2 linked regions of the Notamacropus eugenii genome follow. The protein of the gene in region 2 binds, or shares a complex with, the protein of the main gene of each other region. Links are inferred from orthologs where the notes say so. Each region holds a gene or a part of one and is shown on either strand. Other genes may lie near its edges.

Region 1 (3,905 bases), on a different chromosome or scaffold from region 2:
TGTGACCCTGGGCAAGTTGCCTAACCCTATTTGCTTAACCTGTTGGAGAAAGAAATGGCAAACCTAGCCAGCGTTTTTGCCAAGAAAATCCCCGGGACAGTATTGGTGGGCTGTGGTCCACCGGGTCAGATCCAACTGACCAAAAACAAATGGATCATCCTGGTCAAGAGGTCCAATAAGCAGCTGGAGAGGTGAGTAGAGAGGTCAGCAGGCTGGATAAGTAGACTGGAGAGTTGACAGAATATAGATGATCACTTAATCCATGGCAGCGAATCACCAAGTGAAATATAGATGAAGACAGGCAGAGACCCAGGCAGCCTTGGTGGGGTCACCCTTCTATTAGCAGTCCTGAGCTGGATGAAGATCCAGCCAAGGAGACTCAGAAAGCCCTTTGCTACCTGGTCCCAACTTCTCCCAGCCTCTGCTCCCCACCCGCCTCATGACCCGTCCTCCCCCAAGCTCAAACCGCCCTGACAATGAAACTTTCCCTGACTCCCACCACTGCAGTGCCCTACCTTACACTAACACTGACGGTACACATGTTGACAGACTTACATGATGCCTCCTTCCAGTTCCTGAAGAGTAGGAGCCTCCTTTCTTTCTACTTGTACCCCTCGAACCCAACATAGTGTCTTCTGCCTGCCACAAGCTTCTTCCTACTCCCATGCAGCCACCCCCCAACTGCTAAAGCACTGGCCTGACCAGTCATCTGGCCCATATTCAAACTCTAGGGGCTTCTATCACCCCCAAGATCAAAGAGAGACTCCTGTTGAGCTTTTAAAGCCTTTCCTTTCATCTTATACCATTCTTTGGCCTCCTAGCTGTTGCTCTCATCTCTAAACTCTGAAAGTCTAGAAGGCTCTCTTTGTCATCTTTGCCTCCAGGCTTCCTTCTGGTTTCTGCCTCAAGTCAGTAAGACATCGATTCAAACCTTGCCTCAGACACTAGCTATGTTGTCTGCCTCAATTTACTCAACTGTGAAACGAGAACAATAATAGTATCTACTTCTTAGGACTGCTGTGAGAATGCTGGGCTATCTCCAGTCTTCCTGATCTGTATCTGGGTCACTGGACCTAGCTGGCTCAGGAGAAGTGAGGCTGGTGACTGTGCACAGCCTTCCCTCACTGTAATCCAATTTATTTGCATGTAATGGCATCCCCTCCCTGATGTCATGGTCCTCTTCAAGAACTCCATGAGGAGAAAAGGAGCTGTTCACTGGAGACTAAATTGGAACTGGTCAGTTAATTGGGCAACTAGTCTTTATCTTCTTTCCCTCAGTCCACATAAGGTATCACACCCTTATCTTTGGGTGCTCTGTCTGAAAGGAAGGTAAATTTTTAATCTCTGAAACTTTTTCTTCCTCTTCTCTTATTAAAAGACCAGCCTTATCCCCCAAAATCACTCTGGTGCTCACTGATTGGCCAATAATAGGTCCTAATCCAAGTCCTACTTGGTCACTGTTTGGGCCCTGATAAGCTCAGAATAAATGTAGGTAGCAATTATTTCTGTTTTGGCCAGAAACCTTTGAGGTTCTTCCTCTCCCAGATCTATTTTTTTAGAGGTCATTCTTTGCCTCATTTCTTATTAAGCCTTAATTAGTGAATAGGCATTGCCTCGCTCAAACCGGGACAAGATAAAGACCTTAGCTTGAAAAGGCCAAGGTCCCCCACTGCATCCTGGGCCACCTCCAGTTGTCCTGATCTGTATCTGGCCACTGGACTCAGATGGCTCCAGAGGAGAAAGTAAGGCTGTGGACTTTGCACAGCCCTGCCTCATTTAAATCTGGTTCACTTGTATGTCGCAGCATCATCACCTTCTTCTTTGAGAACAAAGAACAAACAGTAAGCAAACAGCTGTGAGGGTCAAATGAGATGCTTTTGCAAAGGGCTTAGCATAGGGCTTGGAACACAGGTGCTTAATAAGTGTTTTTTCTCTAACTCCTTGGCAGGAGACTTTTCCTGTCCCCCAGGCTATGATTATCTCCACCTCATCCTTTTCCTACAGAGTTGTTTGCATGCTGTCTCCCTCTTTAGACTGTGGGCTCTCAGAAGGCAGGGAGGAAAGCAGCAGCCTCCCAATCAGCTCCCAGCCTCGGGGTTCTCCCTGTCAGATCCATCCTCCACACAGCTGCCTCCCTGACTTTCCCAAACTTCAGGCCTGTCACTTATCCACTCAATCAACTGAAAAAGCTGCTTTCTGTCTCTTGGATCACAGATTTAGAAGGCATTTGATCCAATCCCTTCATTTTACACAAGAGGGGCTGGGGATTGCCAATTCCAAATACCAACTCCTCCCTTTGGCTTTTAAAGCCCCCCCCATATCTTGGCCCCAACTTACCTTTCCGGCTTCATTATACCATTCATCCCCCTCCCACCTCACTCTACAATTCTGAGCGGTTCCTCGAGCTCCATTTCCCACCTCCGTGCCTTTGTCCAGGCTATCCTCCACCCCTGGCATGCTCTCCCTCCTGGGGCCCACTTTGTGGGATCCCTCGTTTCTTTCAAAGCTCAGTTCCTGAATTCTTCCCCTACACCCCCCTTTACTTTGTATTGGCTGGCATCTATTTGGCACCTACTATCCCGGGTTGGCCCGTGAGCTCCTGGAGGCCAGGGGCGGTCACACTATTTTTTGGTAAGCGCTTGCGGATGGGCTGCTGGACACCACACAGCCGTAACCGCACGGCCCGGGAATTCCCTCCCCGTCCGTCCTCGGGCCCAGCCCCTGCGGCCCCGGAGCCCTCCGAGGCCTGCCTGCCCGCACCTGTCGATGCCCTTGAGCAGCTTCCCCACGTTGGCGCGCATCTGCTCGAACAGCGCCATGGCCTCCTCCTTTTCACAAGCAGACGCAGACGCCGAGACCGGGTCCGGAGAAGCAACAGGAACCGGAAGGGGCGGGGAGGGCGGAAGTTCTCCTTCCCCGATGACACTTTCGGCCGCATGGTCGTCAACTTCTTCCGCAACGGGAGGCGGAGGTAAAGGCGGCGGCGGAGGGGGCTGCTTCCGGGTAGCACGTGACTTCCTCTTCCGGGATCGGTCCATTCTGGAGCATGCGCACTCGCACCGACGGAGAGCGGGCCAGACAGAGCTCACCCACGGTGAGGGAGGTGGGGAAAAAAACCCTCGGGAGCCAGTGCGCAGGCGTCCCAGGGTCTCTCTCGCCCTCTCCCCCTCCCCCTAGCGTCGCTCACTCCCCCTCCCCCTCGAGTGGGCGGGACCAAAGCTGCTGCATTGTTGCCCCTCCTCGCCGGCTTCGTCACGTGACAGGAGGCAGCTGCGCTGGAGACCCCACGAGTGTCCCGGGGAGGGGGGCGCCTGGATGCACGTGTACTTTGTGCACACATGAGACTTCCACGACTCCACATCCAACACGATCTCTTGCCTGTCCCCCACCCCTTGGTGCCTTCCCCCTGTCCTTGGTGTCCCCTCGGACACATGGCGCCCTCCTCCAGGAAGGCCCCTCCTCCCGTGGACTGTCTCCCAGTGCAGACCATTCTCTCCCCAGGGAGACGGAAGACGGGGGAAGGGTGGCAGTCACTAAATGAGTGACTCGATTCCCCTCCATCCGGTCCCCGGAATAATAAGAACGGGTGCGGCGACTCTCCCTCTCCCTCACTCTGGTTTGCCTTAGGCGCCTAATAGATGCTTAATCGATCGTCTCTCCCACGCATATTCCCATAAAGAGAGTCTCTCCTTCCCTGCCCGGTGACTGGCCAAGGCACGGGGTCAGCGGGTCAACAGCATTTTAAACACCCGTGAAGGGCCAGGCCCCGAGCTCAGGGCCGGCACCTAACCACGCCCAGTGGGCCGGGGGCCTCTCGGGCTCGCTGCTGCTCTGGAGCCCAGTCTGCAAACCCGGTGGCAGAGGTTGAGCTGGGGGCTCTCCAAGGTGCTGTCCAGGCTGTCCGC
Region 2 (3,905 bases):
TGACTCCTACATTTTTGGAATGGCTCCAAAATCAACGCAAATGTGCTAAGTCCTGCTTTAGAGAACTAAAGTACATTACATTAACTAGAAACAAATTGCTGACTAAATGAAACAAAGATTCTATATGGGGTTTACAATGTCACCCAATCTAGGCTTTTTGTTTTGATGCTGAAATTGAACTAAGAAAAAATGAAGAGACAACGAATCCAAAGTACTCCATGAAAGACATTCAAGGAATCTTGGTCATGTAGCAGAATAAATAGTATCCTTGTTTTAAGAATACACACCAGAATATAAAAACATTTCTATAAAGGCTAACAAAACCCAAATGTCATTTCAACATTGCATCGAGAGCCTACGATTTCTTCGGTATATGTGGGAACTCCATCCACCAAAGAAATTCGTGTATAATTCATAGTCTTAGGAGGATGACTTGCCCATGATCAGGAGGGCTTTGAACCCTGGTCTAACTAGAAAGTCCAATACTATTTTATGACAGTCATATGGGTTATAAAATAATTCCTACATCAACTCTCTGGTCAGTTTAAAAAACTTTTATTTTTACTTACGTGGGTTTAATAACTGTGGGGGGAAAAAACAGAAGCTAGTTCAAGTACACAGCATTATTTTGTTTACTTCCAGTTCTTTTCTTCTCATTCTTAAAATTTTTAATTTTTCCTCCAACTCTTTGCTAACCTTACCTCACTTCCACAGCTAAAATTTTTTTCTAAATTGCAACATACATTGTATAGGATTAAAGAATATTAAAAAAAAAAATACACATTTTACAGTATCTTAAGTGTGCTTGACCACTTGGGGAGGAGGGGTGCAGCAGACCCCAACATTCAGAAGGAAAGACAAGCCAGAGTGTTCTCTATGCTTCAATTTTTAAGGTCTGTTGAACACGTTGAGCAAGCCAGGGATGAGAGGGAAACGTTCAACTTTCAACTTCATACATACAAACATCTGCTGAAACGTTTCAAGAATTCCACTACTTTACTAAGCTTTATACCCTTGCCACTCTGGACATAAGATTTAGGGGCTACTAAATAAAATCCTTGGGACAGTTTCCTAAAAGCACATGAGGGGCTCCATGTTGAAAATGGCACACTTTTCAGAAATATACAATAAGGCTGAATCAGTTCTGGTGGGAAGAGACAAAATAAACTCAAATTTAAACTTCATCCCCTAGAAAGGAGTCCTCACTGCCCTTTCCCGCACTCCAATATCCAAATACTATGTTTTCATTCTGTTTTCTGCTTCTCACGTGTACTGGGAAGCCCTCCTGCCAACTCCCCATTTCCCATGTTGCCAGGGAGTTGCTCTGGGCACTTATTACTTCTTCCAGCTGCTTGTCTAATTCATCGCTTAATTCCTTCACCAGAGGAGACAAGCTGGATCTCTTCATTTTTATGTTTCTAAATAGCTCCGATAAACGGTCTGATAAAGAAGAGGCTGCGACGGATCGCTCAAAATGTCTCCACCTATGTCAATTCATCGATCCTAATCGGCTGCTCGCTAGAGTCTGCTGCCAATCACACACCCCAACAGGGCTGGGAACTCGGAGGACCCCGCAGTGAGTTATGCCGACGGCGACAGCGCAGAGAAGGCCGGGAAGCCCTCCCCAGGATTCCCAGATGGAACATGCCCCGGGCCTCAAGCTTCCACCCATGCCCCGGTCACCGGGCGGCAGACCCGCGGGCCGACCCGGACCCGAGGGCCGAGCGGAGAAGGCCGCGGCCGCGTGTCTCCGGCCCGGGGTCCGGGGGCGGGAGGGGGAAGGACGGAGTGCGGGCCCGGGGAGGCGAGGGCGCCACTACCCGGAAACGGCGGCCCGCCCTGGAGCAGGCCGGGATCGGGGCCCCCGGCGGCCGACCGCCACCTCCCCCGCTCCCGCCGCCGGGCCCGGCCCGGCCTGGCGCCCACCTTGACGTCGTCATCCTCGTCCTCGCCCTCCCAGCGGTCCCCGCCGGCCGCGCCCCCCGCCTTCCGCACCGGCTCCTCCACCGAGAACGTGTCCGCGTCTACGGAAAGGAGGGAGAGAGAGCCACGTTAGGCACGAGTCGCGTCCGGGCCCCAGGAGGGCGCCGCCCCTCCCCCCGCTCCACGCCATCCCCGCACGGCCCCTCACCCCAGGAGTCCGAGTCCCCCGCCGCCGCCGCCATCTCGGGCCGGGTGTGCGCGAGTGCGAGAGGGAGAGAAGGGGGAAGGAGAGCGCGAGAGGGCGGCTGGTGAGTCACCCGAGAGCTTCTCGCTGGCCAACGCGGGGCACGCCGGGACGGCGGCGGAGCGTCAGGCCCCGCCCGAGGCCCCGCCCCTCCCAGGCCGCGGGAATTAGGCGCGCGGAGCGGACGGAGCTCCGCCCCCTCCCGGCGCCAAGAGGAGGCCGGAGGAGGCGGGGCCTCAGGTGGACCAGGTGGAGGGCCGGGTGGAGTGCGGACTGCCGGGAGAGGAAGGGCCAAGACCCCGCCCCTCCCTCCGTCACCCGGAACTCCGCTTTCTGCGTTGCACACGCACAAATCCTACCGCGAGGAACGCCTCTTGCACACATATGGTTACAAGAAATGGCCCTGCCACACGAGAAGCACCGCTTCGCTCTCCCACACCCCCTCTGGTTTCACACACGCATGCATACACACACACACTCACACGCACACACGCACGCTGTCACGTCCCTTGCACACGTGCTCTCTTCCACACACGCCCTGCTGCGTCCGGGGGAAAGCCTCCTCACCCACCCCCACCCCTTCTACACACACGCAGACACACACACGTCCAGGACATCCCTTTCACACACAACCTCATCACAGGGAAGCCTGTCGCACTCTATACACACACTCGCGATGAACGCTCAGACCCCACAAGCCTCCACGTAGCTCGTCCCACTCGTGGGTGAAAAGCGTGAGTATAGGAAAAGGGTGGGTTGTGTTTGTGTGCGGGTCAAGGAGTTCGCTAGCGACGTGCCTACAAGTTTGCAAAAAGGCTGAATGGGGGGTGTGTGTGAGGCCGAGGAGATCCTTGGTGACGCGTGGGACAACTCTGTGTCCTCCACGGACACCTCCAAGGGCACGCGCCCCTTCCTTACCCGCACATTCCTTCTTCCAGGGGAATTCCTTTTTCACGCAAGTCAAGGAAATGCCCTTCTCTGTCCCGCATACACTGTTGACAGACCTTTTCTCGAACCCGGGACACAAGGGAACCCCCCCCCCTCCGCACGCCATTACACGCGTCTCACACGCGTCACCAAGGGACTCCGTGTCCTTACGCACACACCTACCCTTTTTTCAAACTCGGAGAACAAATGGCACCAGCACCCTCCTTGCCCACACACACAAATGCGCGCACACACACGCACACGCACGCACGCACACACACTTGTCGCACACGCGTCACCAAGGAACTCCGTGTCCTTACACACGCCCCTACCCTTTTTTCAAACTTGTAGAACAAATGGCACCAGCACCCTCCTTGCCCACACACACGCACACGCACGCACACACACTTGTCGCACACGCGTCACCAAGGAACTCCGTGTCCTTACACACGCCCCTACCCTTTTTTCAAACTTGTAGAACAAATGGCACCAGCACCCTCCTTGCCCACACACACGCACACGCTCACACACGCTCACACATGCACACACGCGCACACACGCACACAGTTGTCGCACACGCGTCACCAGGGCACTGGCCGCCCCTTCGGGCATTCGCACACTCGCAGCGCGCGGGGTCCGAAGCAGCCCGAGGGGCCGCAGCTCTAGGACCGCCGCCCCACCCGCGTCATCCCCACCATACTGTCCCTCACCTTCCTCCCTGTTCGAAGACTCGCTTCCTTCCCCCCGATCCCAGGCGGGAATAGAGGGAGAGCCCTCCTTTTCCCCAGAAGTAAATGGAGGCAAAGAAGGC

Evidence for each region.
Region 1: EIF3J (region 2) and EIF3K share a complex: the UniProt entries of both Homo sapiens proteins name them as parts of the eukaryotic translation initiation factor 3 (eIF-3) complex. The link is inferred for Notamacropus eugenii from reciprocal best matches to the Homo sapiens genes EIF3J and EIF3K.

The regions. Positions count from the first base shown.
Region 1 is NC_092876.1:31,817,612-31,821,516, reverse strand, and holds the start of EIF3K (eukaryotic translation initiation factor 3 subunit K), read right to left. Parts: upstream 3,039-3,905; coding exon 2,761-3,038; intron 1-2,760. UniProt on the Homo sapiens protein: Component of the eukaryotic translation initiation factor 3 (eIF-3) complex, which is required for several steps in the initiation of protein synthesis.
Region 2 is NC_092878.1:53,314,682-53,318,586, forward strand, and holds the start of EIF3J (eukaryotic translation initiation factor 3 subunit J), read right to left. Parts: upstream 2,517-3,905; 5' UTR 2,166-2,516; coding exon 2,132-2,165; intron 2,025-2,131; coding exon 1,927-2,024; intron 1-1,926. UniProt on the Homo sapiens protein: Component of the eukaryotic translation initiation factor 3 (eIF-3) complex, which is required for several steps in the initiation of protein synthesis.